Linked DNA regions of Macaca fascicularis. The protein of the gene in region 1 interacts with the protein of each later gene in a pairwise test. Links are inferred from orthologs where the notes say so. Each region holds a gene or a part of one and is shown on either strand. Other genes may lie near its edges. The genes, in order: MEOX2, MAPKBP1 and SHFL.

Region 1 (5,164 bases):
AAACATGAAGCTGCTAGAGTTTATATATGTGTGTGTCCATGTGCATTTGTGGAGGGAAAATGCATAAAATATATACTATAGAAGCTTACATATTATAGTTTTAAATCATTACTATAAATTAAATAGTAAGGTTTATAAATATTTAAGCTGTTTTTCAATATTTTCTGGTGCTTAAAATTCTATTAGAATTTAACATGGTAATTAGCGCAAACACATACAATCTAGGTATTAGATGCAGGGATACAGAATTTTGGTTCTGACTTTACCCTGGATTTATGTACTAAATCTTCTCTCAACCATAAATGAAAAGTAATTATAAACTACCTACCAAAATACAGATGGTCTCACTATATAGGATGAGATTTTTATCTAACACAATTTTAAATTTCAGGAGTTCTGAAAGCACTTCAATTTTGTTTTTTACAAATAGTGAAATACTAAAATGTGCTATAAACAATGAGAGATATACGTATTAATAGCATACCAGGATCATAATCATTTTCAATGTTGCTTTAGTTTGTGCTGGATCAAGATGTCTATGAAATAAAATATCTTTGAAGATAACTTATGGAAAACCTAATGCAATTGTTACACGAGAAAGATATCTTTAATTTAAATCTATCTGAATATCTGACAAATATACCTCAAGCTGAAATTGGAAAATAAAATTTTATTTTCAATAAGTGTACATAGATTTAAACAGAAATTATTGGGATACTTCCTTTTAGTCAATATTTCTTCAAAATATCAAAGGAAAGAAAAGCTCGTCCTAAGTCCCCAGTATTTTTATCCTTGGTGATGACTAATTGTACTTTCCACTCAAGTTTTAATCTGTTAATAATTTATGCAGCTGACACAAACACTTATATTGGCTTGTTTTTCCAGTACCCTCATTATCAGCTTCAACATGTAGAAATGAACTTAATTTTGTTAAATGGTTATTTCCCACTAAGTTAGGAGGAGAGATAAACACGTTTTGTTAAATTATTCCACTTTAAAAAAATTATTAAAATAAATTAAGGGAATCAGTTACTGAATTCCACTTTCTTGGTTTCCCCCAAACAAAATAACATGTGCTTGTATGAAAATTCAGTTTGCCCTAAGAAACTTAAGAGCAATGGCTCAGTTCAGGAAGCATAAAGGACAATCTGTCATGTAGGTTACTCATTGCAAAAAATAAAATGAACAGTAAGAGCTTACGGGAATTGCAAGAGTACTCTCATCAACCTGAACTGGGATCTGCTTCCAAAGTGACACTGATATCAAATGTTCGGTTTATGAAATTGTCACTGCATTCTAAAATTGACTGTTTTTCTAATACAAATTGAAACCTTCTTGCTATGATTAACCATTCAACTCACTATCTAAAGAGACTTTCACTTATAGTTAGGAAAGTACATTAAATATCAGTGACACTACTGGTAATTTTCTTATAAAAACTAATTTGTGACAGAACATTAAAAGTTCACCCCCTGACCTTGGAAAATAAAAGTTAGCTTTTGAGACCATGACAGAAGAATCCATCCCATAGGATTGCTGAATAACAATTGATATTGCTGTGAAGGGTGAAGGAATATTAAATATGCGGTCAATCATTTTCATTTAGGTGGCATCTTACCTAAAGCTTTATACACGATAAACATTTGTCCAATACTTCAAACCAACATATGGGATTACCTTCTAGGACTATTATTAACCCAATTCCGCAGAGGAAGAAAAATATGCAAATGTTATATTAAACAAATGATATCTTCCAAAAATATGCAATCCAGGTTGCACTATAGCCACGAAAGAAAACTCACAAGTCTCTTAATTTTAAAGTATCTTTTAACAATTTTATGATAATACAGGTAGGTAAGAGCTTTGAAAAGTGGTCTGGAAAACTTTGAGTTTCTCTGGATTGCTACAGAAAAGTTACTCGGCAAGTGTGTCTTCAAGTACCAGAGGTCAGAAAGGTTTCCCTTTTCCGTGGCTGCTCAAATTATCCCCCACTAAAATCAGCGCCTCCTGCGCGCACCCTTACATACCACCTTCAGGCACGTAGCTAACTAACACTACCCGAGCTACTGTTGCTTCGCTGTATTTGTCTCTACTAATACCCACTTGGTAGAGGGATTTGTTTTCCACTTTTGAAACGTTGATTCTGTAATTAGCTTACACCACATGAACATGTACTATTAAGGTTCGTCTTTCTTCCAATGTGAGCATCTATTTATTTACAATTCTCTGACACATTCCTTAAAATCTGAATTCCTAGATAATGTCTTTTTCCCCAATAAAGGGAAAATTTTACCATTTGAAATAGGGTGCTATTTAAAGAACGCTGAAATAAGAATGTTAGAAAAAAAAAAAAAAAAACTAAAACTTTTTTTTTTCTCATGCGCTCTGCCAAGTTCCACTGCAAGTTCCAAATATTGTGCAATGATTTGGAAATCCAGTTAACGATGGGAAAAATCGAGCCACTCACAGTCGGGAACTTGCAAGAGAAAAGTCAAGAAGCGGCACCCGCACGCACGCCTGCCCAACCGACGCTGCATCTCTGGGCGCACGCCCCTCCCTCCCCAGCGCTGGGATGGAAGGTCACGCTTCGCAATCGATTTCACAGCCACTTGTCCTTTTTTATCAACCTTCTGGTAAACTAGTTTAGGACCTTGGAGAGCTTAGAGCTGCTGGCTGTATATGCATTGCTCTCGGATAAACACGTGTCCCCCAAATATCAGGACCAAAGCTTCACCGCCGAATTTGGCCGCGGGAAGCCACAAAGGGCAACACATTCCCATATTCCCCGCTGCCACCCTGTAGTGCGAGAATCTCCCCTGGCATCTCTCCGCCCCCTTTCCAGGCCGGCGCGCACTCTCGAGGGTGCCTGGTGCGCCCTTACCTGAGCTGTCGCTTTTCCTCTTGCCACCGCTTCGCTTCTCCGCCTCCGCAGGTGACAGTGCCTGGCGGCCGTAGTCCCCCGGCGCGCACGCGGCCCCAGTCGGGGTGCTGGAGCCCAAGCTGGAAGAGTTGGAACACAGGACCGGAGGGCTGCTCCCCAACTCTGGGGGCCCTCCGGAGTCGGGCTGGAGGCAGAGGCTGTGTCGAGCCGCACTCGGTGGGGAAGACATCTGCGGGAGGTGCCAGTTGGTTTGCAGAGCCTGGTGCTGCTGCTGCTGATGATGGTGATGGTGGTGGTGGTGGTGGTGGTGGTGCCCCCTGTGATGCTGGCTGGCAAACATGCCTTCTTCGTTGGGGTATCCCGCGATTATGCAAGATGAGGAAGAAGTAGAGAGCTCGGGGTAAGACATATGGTCAGATCTTCCATGGAGGGCGAGAGAAGATTGGGAGAACGGGTGCAAGCCTTGCGCCGTGGCGTGAGGGCTGCGCAGGCAGCCAAAGAGCGGGTGTTCCATAGCATGCAAGTTTCAGGTTCCAGGCAGAAGACTTCAGGACGGTTCCAAAGGTCACCACCCTCTGTCACTTTTCACTGGAAACCGTATGATTTTTTTTTACCCTCCCAAAGCAATAGCCGTGCACTTCTGCAGAGCTCGGATAATCCCGGTTCTGAGCCCCAGCGACCAGTCTCCTTTGCATATGAACAGTCGGACCTGGAAGAGCTTCCCTGAACTACTCAGATGTCAAGAGTGGGAGAGGTTGAAGCCAAAAGAAGGTGGTCCCAGAGAACTGCTTTCAGGGGGAAATGGCTCTGAGAGGTTATAAATAGAGTGTAACGTGAGCTGGGGGCCGGCTTAGGAGCCCAGAGTTGACCACATGCAAACTCCCTCCAAAACTCCCGCTCAGTTTGCGCCACGCGCTCCCCAGTTCCACTTCCTATCGCCTGCTGGACAGACGCAGAGCGTCCACGCCCGCCCAGCACTGCCGGCTGCCAGGGCTACAAGCGGCACGCCAGTGCCTAAGTCCCGCCCGGGAGGGCAGCAGCTCTGCCCTCCAGACTCTGGAGGCCTGGGCGCGGCGCACACCACCCCCAACCCAGCACCCTGATTCCTACCTACTCACTTTCCTCTCCGGGAATCGTGATTTGTCAGTGTCATTTGTGAACTGTCACCTGCAGAAAAGCTAGGGATATGCCTAGCCTTTCAGGAACCCAAAAGAAGTAATAGGGTTAAACGAAAAGATCAGAGCTAGTTAGGCGCATCCTCGAAGTTTTTCAAACTTCGCATCTTCCAGTGCCCTGGGCGCCGCAGCGCGCCTAGGTTTTCACAGCTGGTTTCTGTGGGTGGATTGTTAATGGGCTGGGACGCCAGATCTGAGGTTGTGGGGATGAGTACCATGGCCTGGAAAAGGCAGTTCTCAGTGCGGAACCAAGAGGGACCCGGTAGGGTGGGTGGGAGGAAGGCGTGAGTCTGAAAGGGTTGCAGATGCCTGTTCCCTGGCATCCTCTTGTGCGATGCCAGGTGGAGTCTCCCTTCCCCCTCTTTCCTGGTCCCGCTCAATTTCCTAGCCACTTGTCCACCAAGAAGAAATTTTCCTGGGTCAAAAATATTTCCAGGCGATTTTGTCCCGGTCACATGAGATGTGTAGATTGCACGCACATATCTAGCCTTTCCCCTCAGGAGCTAGCCTAGGTCTCCGCAGTTTCCTACAGAAATCCACTCTCTTCCCCTCAAAAATAAATCCGCTAATCGCATCCCTTATCACCACCGTCCCATTTACTGAGAAATCTTACATTTCGATAGCTCCCAAAATTCACTAAGCTTGGGCACTTGGCTATAACTTTGCATCCGTGAAAATAAATTAGAAAATTTGCCTCCAGTAAGCATGCAAGAACGATGGCAGGGCTTTGAGACTGCCACTTGTTTGGCGGGTGACAGGGTCCGCTGGGGGCAGAGTCGTTTACACACAAGTGAGTGGCTCTGTAATGAGCAGGAGAAACAGTCAAGTCCCATCTGGGACCTGTCGCATCAGGAGAATATCTGTAGTCACCTATTCCGCCCGGGGCCCCAAATGCACCACCAGCAGTGTCGCCCCGTTATTTTCATTGTCTCAGGTGTCCAGAGGATGATGAGCAGGTCTTTGAAGTTGTTAGTGGGATTAATGGGTACAGCAAACTGGGCTAGACATCTGGTTTGAATTAGGAAAAAGTATTGATTAATCTTTGAGAGGTGTCCCCAAAGCAGAACCTTCCCCCTCCTCTTCCAGTCCCCCTGCTTAAGCCTCACTA
Region 2 (5,064 bases), on another chromosome or scaffold:
TTTAGGCTTAGAGAAAAGTTGCTGAAAGAACAGAGCGCTTCCATATTTCCCTTACCCAGCTTTCCCTAATGTTAACATCTTACATAACAATAGTCTAATTATCAAAACTAGGAAATTTATGTTGGTATAATACTATTAATTAGAAAACTTATTCAAATTTCCCCAGTTTTCCTGCTATGTCCTTTTTCTTGACTCCAGATCCTATCCAGAGTCCAAATTGCATTTAGTTACTTCTCCTTAGATTTCTGTGGTCTGCAACAGTTCTCCAGTCTTTCTTTACTTTTCATGATCTTGATGCTTTTGAAGAGTAATGATCAGTTACTCTGTGGTATGTACCTCAATTTGAGTTTGTTGGATGTTTTCTCACGCCTACATTGAGTTTATGCATTTTTGGTAAGAATACCACAACAATGTTGAAACATTGTCACATTCTTCCTAGTACATCCTATTACGGGCATCATGATGTTGACATGAGGATGTTGATATGAGGATGTTAGTGTATGACCACTTGGGGAAGATGATTTCTGCTAGGTTTACTCATTGTAAAGTTACTACCTTTCCCTTGTAAATAAGTATCTTGTTGCCCAACCTTTTTGAGCCCAACCCTCCGTAAAGTTCTAAACACCTGACTCTGCACCACGAGTGGCAGTCAGTACCCACCCAGGGCCTGGCATTACCTAAGTGTGCCCATACGGTCCCCTGATGCTAGATGCTGTCCATTGGGGCTGACACACACCGAGCGGATGCCCACGCGGGGATCCATCAGGGACGCATCTGCTTTGTCTCCTCCAGGCAGCTCTGTGTCCAGCAGGGCCTGGGTGTTCCCATCCACATAGATGATTTTAATGAGGTCCTAGTGGAACAGGTTAGAAGAGGTAGATGAGGCAGGCCTGACCAGTACAGCTGTAAGGGGCAAGACAGCTGGGCAAAACAAACCCTTGGACCACAGAGCACAGCCAAATGAAGGCTGGAAAGCCAAGGCCTAGGGACCCGTTCCCAATAACAACGTGCAAAAGCTGTGAGGAGGGGGGCACTGAGGGTGAAGCAGGGCCCCACAGCCTCAGGGCTCACACTGCTGAGGATGTTTCGGTGGAGGGTGGAGCCATGCACCCCGGAGCTCTCTGTATTCCATAGGCGGATGGTGTTGTCTGAGGAGCAGGTAATGAAGGAACTAGGGGGCAGGCAGGCCTGGTTACTGTCCTTCACCTCGGGGTAGACCTGAAGGGGCCGAGGGAACACAATCAGACCTCCATTTGGGAGCAGTCCTCTGCCTACCCAAGGAGATGAAAGGGAATGGGACGAAAGAGGGAATGGTGGCCAGGACTTAGTCCAGTGCCTGTCACAGGCCATACATAGCTAGTATAGACTCTTCATTATGACCAAGGGGAAGCACCCACTATAAATCAGGCACTCTTCTATGCCTCCCACTTACATTATTTCATTGTATTCTTAGAACAATTAGGTGAAGCAAGTACACCATTTTACAGTTGAGGAAACTGAGGCTTGGTCAAATTCAATAACTTGTTCAAGATCACCGAGGCAAAACTAAAGATGGGGCACACTGGGGAAGCCTGTAACATTCAAATTCAGTCCCCGGGATCTATCCCAGGGAATTCACTGGAGAAACAGGGAGGCAGCAGGAATCTAAGATTATACTTGGGGATCCCTACTTTCTGTCCTCAAAATGGTATCCCAGCCAACCTGGCCAGTCTCCAGCCAGCCAGCCAGCCCACATACCTCCACACTCCAGACGCAGGAAGAATGATACAGAGCCGAGTACACCTTGCCCACTTTCTTGGGGTCCCTCACATCCCAAACATAAATGCTATGATCGTTGTACACACAAGACAGCCACTGATTAGTAGGATCAAAGGTCAAGGCAATGGTGTCTGGATACCTGGCATTGGCCACTCCAGAGAAGAGGCGACTGTAGGGAGAGGACAGGGCACACTAGTGAGACTGAAGGGACTGAAAAGAGAAGCCAATCCACAATGGAAGGAGCAGTGCGTGAGGAGCCCTTCCCGGACCTGCAGGTTTGGAAGTAGTTGCTTGAGAGAAGAAAGGAGCCCCTACTAGCCATTAGCAGGAACCTGACCCGGCACTAGCTGCTGGGCCATGGTGTTCGGATGAACAGTTTCACAGAACACCAACGTTAGACAGGTAATTCTATGGCTGTGATGGGGCAAAACAAAACCAAGACTACTCTGTGCACAGATAAAAACAAGATCACCACACAAACCACGACAATGACCGAACACCGCCTTTCCCATCTACATGACTGCTGGCGGCTTCTTGACCAAATACAGCTTTAGCCCCATACCTTTCCTTCACCTCTTAGATAAATTAACAAGATGTGCCACTGTAGAATTGCCCCTAGTTCCTGACAGCATCCAACCAGAATACTTCAATCCCTTGAACTACTCCTAAAATCACCCAACGCAAGCCCAAATCCCATATGCCCCTTCTAACACCCACTTACTGAGACTCTCCACAGTTCTCCACAGGGTGGGGTCTCCTTGGTTGCAACAAGTACCAATAAACCCAAATTCTTCTGTCTAAAGAGGTGTTCCCAGTAATCTCTGGGGCATCAGTACACTCTTCGCCTGCTCCCTGAGGCACTGACAAGAAAGACTGGGCAGGGGTAAGGCTACGAATGGAGGAAGGGGGGCCCACATAGCTCACCTGGCCTCAGTGATGCTGGCAATGTCTGTCCCCAGAGCATGGGGTCGGGGCAAGGTGCTAAGGAAGTGCAGGTTAGAGGGGTTGAAAAGGCGCACGGTGCCATCAGCACAGCCACAGAAGATGTAGTCTTGGCTCACAGAGATGCAGTGGGCCACTGTGGTCTGTGGGCAGAGTGGCTCAGCTCAGCAAGGCCACCTGCCCACTCAGTCTTCTCTCCTCCCCGCCCATCAACAGCCACCTGCCAAGAGGAAGGACCGGCCAAGGCAGGGGCAAGGGAAAAGCTGCCCAGCTGCTCTATTCTGAGCCCTCAGCCCTGTCCAGCCAGGGGATAGGAATCGAGGATTCTTCTAGGCACCAGAGGATCCAGTAAGAAAAGCCCAGTGAAGAGAAAGAAACAGCATGAGAAAGAAAGGAGGGTGCAGGCACCACTTACTGTGAAGCTGTCTGTGTTCTGAGCAGAAGAGGAAAGCAGGGGAAAGAGAGACAGAAAGAGCAGAGAGGAGGCAGTTACACAGATCACCAAGGGCTGGAACTGGGCCAAGCTCTAGCTCCCCCAAGCTTCATTCTCCTGGGATCTCCCGTATGCATGAGGGCCCAGCCCCTAGTCTGAAGCCCTGGGCACTAGTTCTCCCCTAAGCTGAGACATGGGTAGACCCTACCCCTGGGGACGGAGGTACTTACCCTCAGCTCCACCCACTTGTCCAAAAGCCTTCGATCACTGAACTCGCACAGCAGCCCCGAGGACGTGATGCAGAAGGTGCTGTCCGCCTTCTTCCCTCTGCCACAGGCCACATCAGTGAATAGGTTGTTCCGCAGCTCTCCCAGCAGCCCTGAGCGGCCCAGCAGGGGCACAGTGGCATTCACCTGTGGAGGTACACCACTGTTACCCCCCTATCCACCCCAGAGCCTGCCCCTGGAAACCAGGCCCTAGGAGAGGACAGGGGATGCCTCCAGCACCCCCTTGCTCTTTGGGCCTACTCCTCAGCCCAGACAGCATCTGGCTCATCCAAAACTTCTGCATGACTGCTGGGAATGCAGAGAGAGGCCCAAGTCGGCCAGAGTCTCCTGGGGTGGGCTGGGCAGGCCCTGGCTGGGGACTTGGTGGCTACTCGCAGCTTTAGCACCTCACCTTTGAGGTCTTGCTGTCATCGAGATACCAGAATTTGATGTGCCGGTTGCCTGCAGTGACAAAGTAGCTGCAATCCTCAGAGAAGGACACTGCTGTCACCCGACTGGACACCTTGTTGGAGGCCACCACAATGTTTTTCTAGAGGGGATGCCAAAGGAAGAATCAAGGCCCTGTCTCTTGGAGCTAAGAAGACAGTGACTCAGAGAATGGAGGAGAATTCGAATTTGTACTTGAAAAAGCGTTTCTTTCCAGAATTTACTGGCCAGAAAAAGAGGGGTGGGGAAATAATCCCTTTCTAGAGGAGCTGAAAAGATTCATTTCCTGCAGAAGTCCTTGAAGGCATAAAGTTAGCTCCTTCCACCAACATGCTTGGCCACATGGTTGCTCTTTTCTGCTTCAAATAACTTTCCAGAATGAGAATGGTTCAGTGGGGTGGAGTGGAGCCATGCAGGCCAGCAGTCTCTTGCCTCCTCAGCTGACACTTGACCCCTGTGAGGCTGCCAGGCCATCCCACCCAGCCACTCACCTTCCAGGCCCACACGTTGACGATCATGTCATGCTGGTAGCCCACAGAGACGATGTACTTGGCGCTAGGAGAGAAAGCCACACAAGCCACACCATACTTGTGCTCCTGCAGCTCGGCCACCTGGCTGCGCTCTGCCACGTCCCAAACCCGCACGGCGGGCATGTGCCCACTCTGCAAGGAGGCAAGAACTGGAAGTGAGTTCTTGAGTTCTCCACAGGCATACAGCCCCCGTTTGTTTTCCAGAGTGGGGCCCTCGCCTCCTCAGTCACTGGATACCATCATTCTCCCGGCCAAAAGTCAGGGCAGGGTACAGAGGAAATATGGTAAAGATCTGAGAGCAACAGTGATTATCAGGGAGAAAGTGGCCCTGGAGTTTAGTCAGCATCTCTGGGTGCCCGTCTGTACTTCTAGTTATTCAAGGCTCCCTGAATGGTTCTGATGGGCAGCCAGCATTGAGAGCCACTACCACTCAGGTCTATTTGCTGCCGGGACAAAGGCGTTCCTCCTGAGCCCAGCAGGGGGCCCCCGGGGGTAAGGAATAGTTAAGGCAGTGGTTCCCAAAGCACCCTTCCCTGACCAGCAGCATCAGTACTATCTTGGAATTTCTTACAAATGCACATTTCGGAGCCCCATCCCAGACCTACAGAAGCAGAAACTCTGAGGACCAGCCTAGCGATGTGTGCTTTCACAAGCCCTCCAAGTGATTCTGATGTACACTAAAGCTTGA
Region 3 (3,769 bases), on another chromosome or scaffold:
AAGTCACTGATTGAGTTGGGTTGCTCAAGCTGAGGCCAGCCACTGCAGCACACTTCTAGCCCTGACCCCAACCTCAGACACCTCTGACAATCCTTGGTCCCCTCTCTGCACGCCCCCCCCCACCACCACCAGGTATCCCGGTGCCGGAAATGCCGGAAGCGCTACGAGCCAGTGCCAGCTGACAAGATGTGGGGCCTGGCTGAGTTCCACTGCCCGAAGTGTCGGCACAACTTCCGGTGAGGGCGCTGACCCCCAGCTCCCCCTCAGCCCTGCCCCACCCCAGCCCTGCCCCTCCCTGCCCTGGCCCCACCCTGGCCCAGCCTCGCCCTCGGACCCTCACAGCCCTGCCCGCCCCCAGGGGCTGGGCACAGATGGGGTCCCCGTCCCCCTGCTACGGGTGCGGCTTCCCCGTGTATCCAACACGGATCCTCCCCCCGCGCTGGGACCGGGACCCGGATCGCCGCAGCACCCACACTCACTCCTGCTCGGCCGCCGACTGCTACAACCGGCGAGGTGAGGCTTTTCTCCTCCAACATCCTGGGCAGTCTTTGTCCCCTTCTGTGCCTTTAAGTCCCCAAATCTCCACTCAGTCCACTTCGTCTCCCACAGCAGCAGCCACTGCTTCTACGTGGCCTCCATGGCCCCCCAGTCTCCGTGGTCTTGCCCACGAGGCTCTGAGGTTTCACCCCAGTGGCCCATGCCTGAGGGTCTCCATGGCCTCTGCCCCCATGGTCTCTGGGTTTGGGGCCCCTGTTTTGTCCCCTGTAATCTCAGGTGACCCCCCATGTCCCCAGGTCTCCTGTATCTTCAACACCCCTGAATGTCCAGTTGTGCTGGTCCCCGTATATTGTGGCCTCAGCTCTTCCCTAGAGCCCCTCGTGGCCTCAGCCCCTCCCTAGAGCCCCTCGTGGCCTCAGCCCCCTCCTGCCCAAACTCTCATGGGACCTGGAGTCCCATGTCTGCAGCACCTCTCCCTCCCTAGAGCCCCACGTGCCTGGGACATCCTGTGCTCACCCCAAGAGCCGGAAGCAGAACCACCTGCCCAAAGTGCTCCACCCCAGCAACCCTCACATTAGCAGTGGCTCCACTGTGGCCACCTGCTTGAGCCAGGGCGGCCTCCTGGAAGACCTGGACAACCTCATCCTGGAGGACCTGAAGGAGGAGGAGGAGGAAGAGGAAGAGGTGGAGGACGAGGAGGGCGGGCCCAGGGAGTGACCCCTGCCAGGTGCAGATACAAACCAGACACGGTCTGTGGCTACTTTGTGTTATTATAAGATATGAGCTCAAACCGAGATATGAATGACCTTGGGGAGCCATCTGGGGCCAAGATATTGACAGGGGGGGATTCCTGGGGCCCATTTTCAGCACCCAGGGTCACAGATCCACAGTGGGAGGTTCTGTGGGACACACTGGCACTGAGCCACAAAGGTGTGGCCAGGACAACTTGAGTTCCTGCTGACCAATGTCCCCTGGGGCCTAGGGGACAGAGGAACAGAGAGTCACAGCTTCAGGGGCCGAATGAGCATGGCGGCCTTCCTGAGAGAGTATGCTCCACCACGAAACTCAGCCCAGTAGACACCATCCTGGTAGCGGCTTCGGTAGTGGCCGCCGCGGTGCCACATACCGTTGAGGTTGGAGTGGGCACAGGCATGGTACCACCAGCCTCCCCGCTGGTACAGGGCACAGTTACCTGAGGGGAGAGAGAGAGTCCATGTCCTCTCACCAGAATAAAAGTCTCTACCTGCACCTCACAGTGCAAGGCTTTTGCCAGGTATCCCCTGGCCCCTCCCATTCTTATTTAATACAAGCCCTGATCTTCCATCTCCTCAGCAAAAAAATAGGAGCCCTGGCCCCCCAACTTTCTTCGGAGTAATAGCCTTAATTCCTTCCCTATCTCCTTACCAAAGTACGAGTCACACCTTTCCCACTTTTTCTGCAAACTAGGAGTCTACCACTCATTCCTTTATCAAAGAAAAGAAAATTACCTACTTCCTTTCTAGATAAGAGTACTAGCTCTCACCCTCTGCCCTTCACTTGAACAGGAGTCTTGATTCTTTTTTTGCCTCATCAGAGAAGGAATCTGGACTCCCCATACCCCCACCAGGATAAAAGTCCTGACCTTTGTTCTCTTGACAGAATAAAAGCTTGCTTATCCTACTACTTACCAGAGGGGCGTCTTACCTACCCTACCTCCTTTCATTCCCTCACCAGAACAGGAGTCCCACCTCCCCTATCCTCCCACCAGAATAAGAGTTCTCCTTACCAGAATAAGAGTCTCGGTCCCTATCCACGGTGCTGAAGGGCTTGTCATTGTGCCAGGAAAGAGAGTCTCCAGCATCACCATGGTACTGGCCAAGCCGCAGGCGGTAGTGGTCGCTCTCAGGTTCCAGGGAGAAGCCATCATAGTGGGCACGTGCTCCACGGCCTCCCCAGTCTTCCAGGAGAACCAGCAGCTCATGGTCCCCACGGCTGGTCAGCTGATACACGGGTTCAAGGCCCAGCCAGTATTCTCCGTCTGGCCGCCCAAAGCCCGCCTGGCAGGGCAGGAAAGTCAGGAAGCCAGAACAGGCTCCCTCCCCTTCCCTGTCTCTGCCCACCTGTGCCCACCTTATAGTGCTGCCAGGTAGTGAAGAAGTTGACTGAACCATCTTGCCTCCGCTGGATCACAGTCCAGCCTCCACCCTCCAGCTGCTGTTCACACCATGCTGACACCACATGCCGGCCCACTCGCAGTTCATACACTCCACTCTGTTCATGGCCTGCCTGGCGGGCCTCTGCACAATCCTGCCATGGGCCTGTGGGCACAGGGATATGTGGGAGGCACAGCCTGGGCTGACCAATCCCTTACTGGAGCAAGAGTCGAGATTCTCACAGGTCCCCTCACCAGAATAAGAGTCCTGCCTCTCCCACTTTTCTACCAGAATCCTGCCTCTCCCATTTCCTCACCAGCATAAGAGGCCTGCCTCTCCCATTTCCTCACTAGAATTCGAGCCCCAATAGCCATTTCCTTACCTGAGTAAGAATCTGGGTCCCTTGTCTCTAACCAGAGGAAATGCCAAGCCTGGGGTTCTTTCTTTCTTTTTTTTTTTTTTTTTTTTTTTTTTTTTTTTTTTTTTTGAGACAGAGTCTCGCTCTGTCGCCCAGGCTGGAGTGCAGTGGCGCGATCTCGGCTCACTGCAAGCTCCGCCTCCCGGGTTCACGCCATTCTCCTGCCTCAGCCTCCCGAGTAGCTGGGACTACAGGCGCCCACAACCGCGCCCGGCTAATTTTTTGTATTTTTAGTAGAGACGGGGTTTCACCGTGGTCTCGATCTCCTGACCTTGTGATCCGCCCGCCTCGGCCTCCCAAAGTGCTGGGATTACAGGCGTGAGCCACCGCGCCCGGCCTTTCTTTTTTTTTTTTTTTTTTTGAGACAGAGTCTCGCTCTGTCGCCCAGGCTGGAGTGCAGTGGCGTGATCTTGGCTCACTGCAAGCTCTGCCTCCCGGGTTCACGCCATTCTCCTGTCTCAGCCTCCCGAGTAGCTGGGACCACAGGTGCCCGCCACCATGCCCAGATAATTTTTTGTATTTTTAGTAGAGACGGGGTTTCACCGTGTTAGCCAGGATGGTCTCGATCTCCTGACCTCATGATCTGCCTGCCTCGGCCTCCCAAAGTGTTCGGATTACAGGCATGAGCCACCGCGCCCGGCCAAGTCTGGGGTTCTTAAACCCTGGTTTTTATGGTCTCCTCACCAGAATATAAGTCCTGAATATGGTACTCTGAACCAGT

What was found.
Region 2: the proteins of MEOX2 (region 1) and MAPKBP1 interact in binary tests that used the Homo sapiens proteins (3 or more experiments, as listed by UniProt). The two-hybrid records come from large-scale screens. The link is inferred for Macaca fascicularis from reciprocal best matches to the Homo sapiens genes MEOX2 and MAPKBP1.
Region 3: the proteins of MEOX2 (region 1) and SHFL interact in binary tests that used the Homo sapiens proteins (3 or more experiments, as listed by UniProt). The two-hybrid records come from large-scale screens. The link is inferred for Macaca fascicularis from reciprocal best matches to the Homo sapiens genes MEOX2 and SHFL.

What each region holds. Positions count from the first base shown.
Region 1 is NC_088377.1:114,505,983-114,511,146, reverse strand, and holds the start of MEOX2 (homeobox protein MOX-2), read right to left. Parts: upstream 3,675-5,164; 5' UTR 3,396-3,674; coding exon 2,882-3,395; exon of another isoform or gene 2,835-2,881; intron 1-2,834. UniProt on the Homo sapiens protein: Mesodermal transcription factor that plays a key role in somitogenesis and somitogenesis and limb muscle differentiation. Required during limb development for normal appendicular muscle formation and for the normal regulation of myogenic genes.
Region 2 is NC_088381.1:18,402,483-18,407,546, reverse strand, and holds part of MAPKBP1 (mitogen-activated protein kinase-binding protein 1), read right to left. Parts: intron 4,509-5,064; coding exon 4,338-4,508; intron 3,950-4,337; coding exon 3,812-3,949; intron 3,547-3,811; coding exon 3,364-3,546; intron 3,134-3,363; coding exon 3,116-3,133; intron 2,844-3,115; coding exon 2,683-2,843; intron 1,928-2,682; coding exon 1,738-1,927; intron 1,219-1,737; coding exon 1,072-1,218; intron 854-1,071; coding exon 678-853; intron 1-677. UniProt on the Homo sapiens protein: Negative regulator of NOD2 function. It down-regulates NOD2-induced processes such as activation of NF-kappa-B signaling, IL8 secretion and antibacterial response. Involved in JNK signaling pathway.
Region 3 is NC_088393.1:10,637,700-10,641,468, forward strand, and holds the end of SHFL (shiftless antiviral inhibitor of ribosomal frameshifting protein), read left to right. Parts: intron 1-132; coding exon 133-236; intron 237-358; coding exon 359-513; intron 514-982; coding exon 983-1,215; 3' UTR 1,216-1,499; coding exon of another isoform or gene 1,500-1,690; 3' UTR 1,691-2,160; downstream 2,161-3,769. Other genes in the region: ANGPTL6 (angiopoietin-related protein 6), read right to left, coding at 1,500-1,690, 2,264-2,534, 2,608-2,795.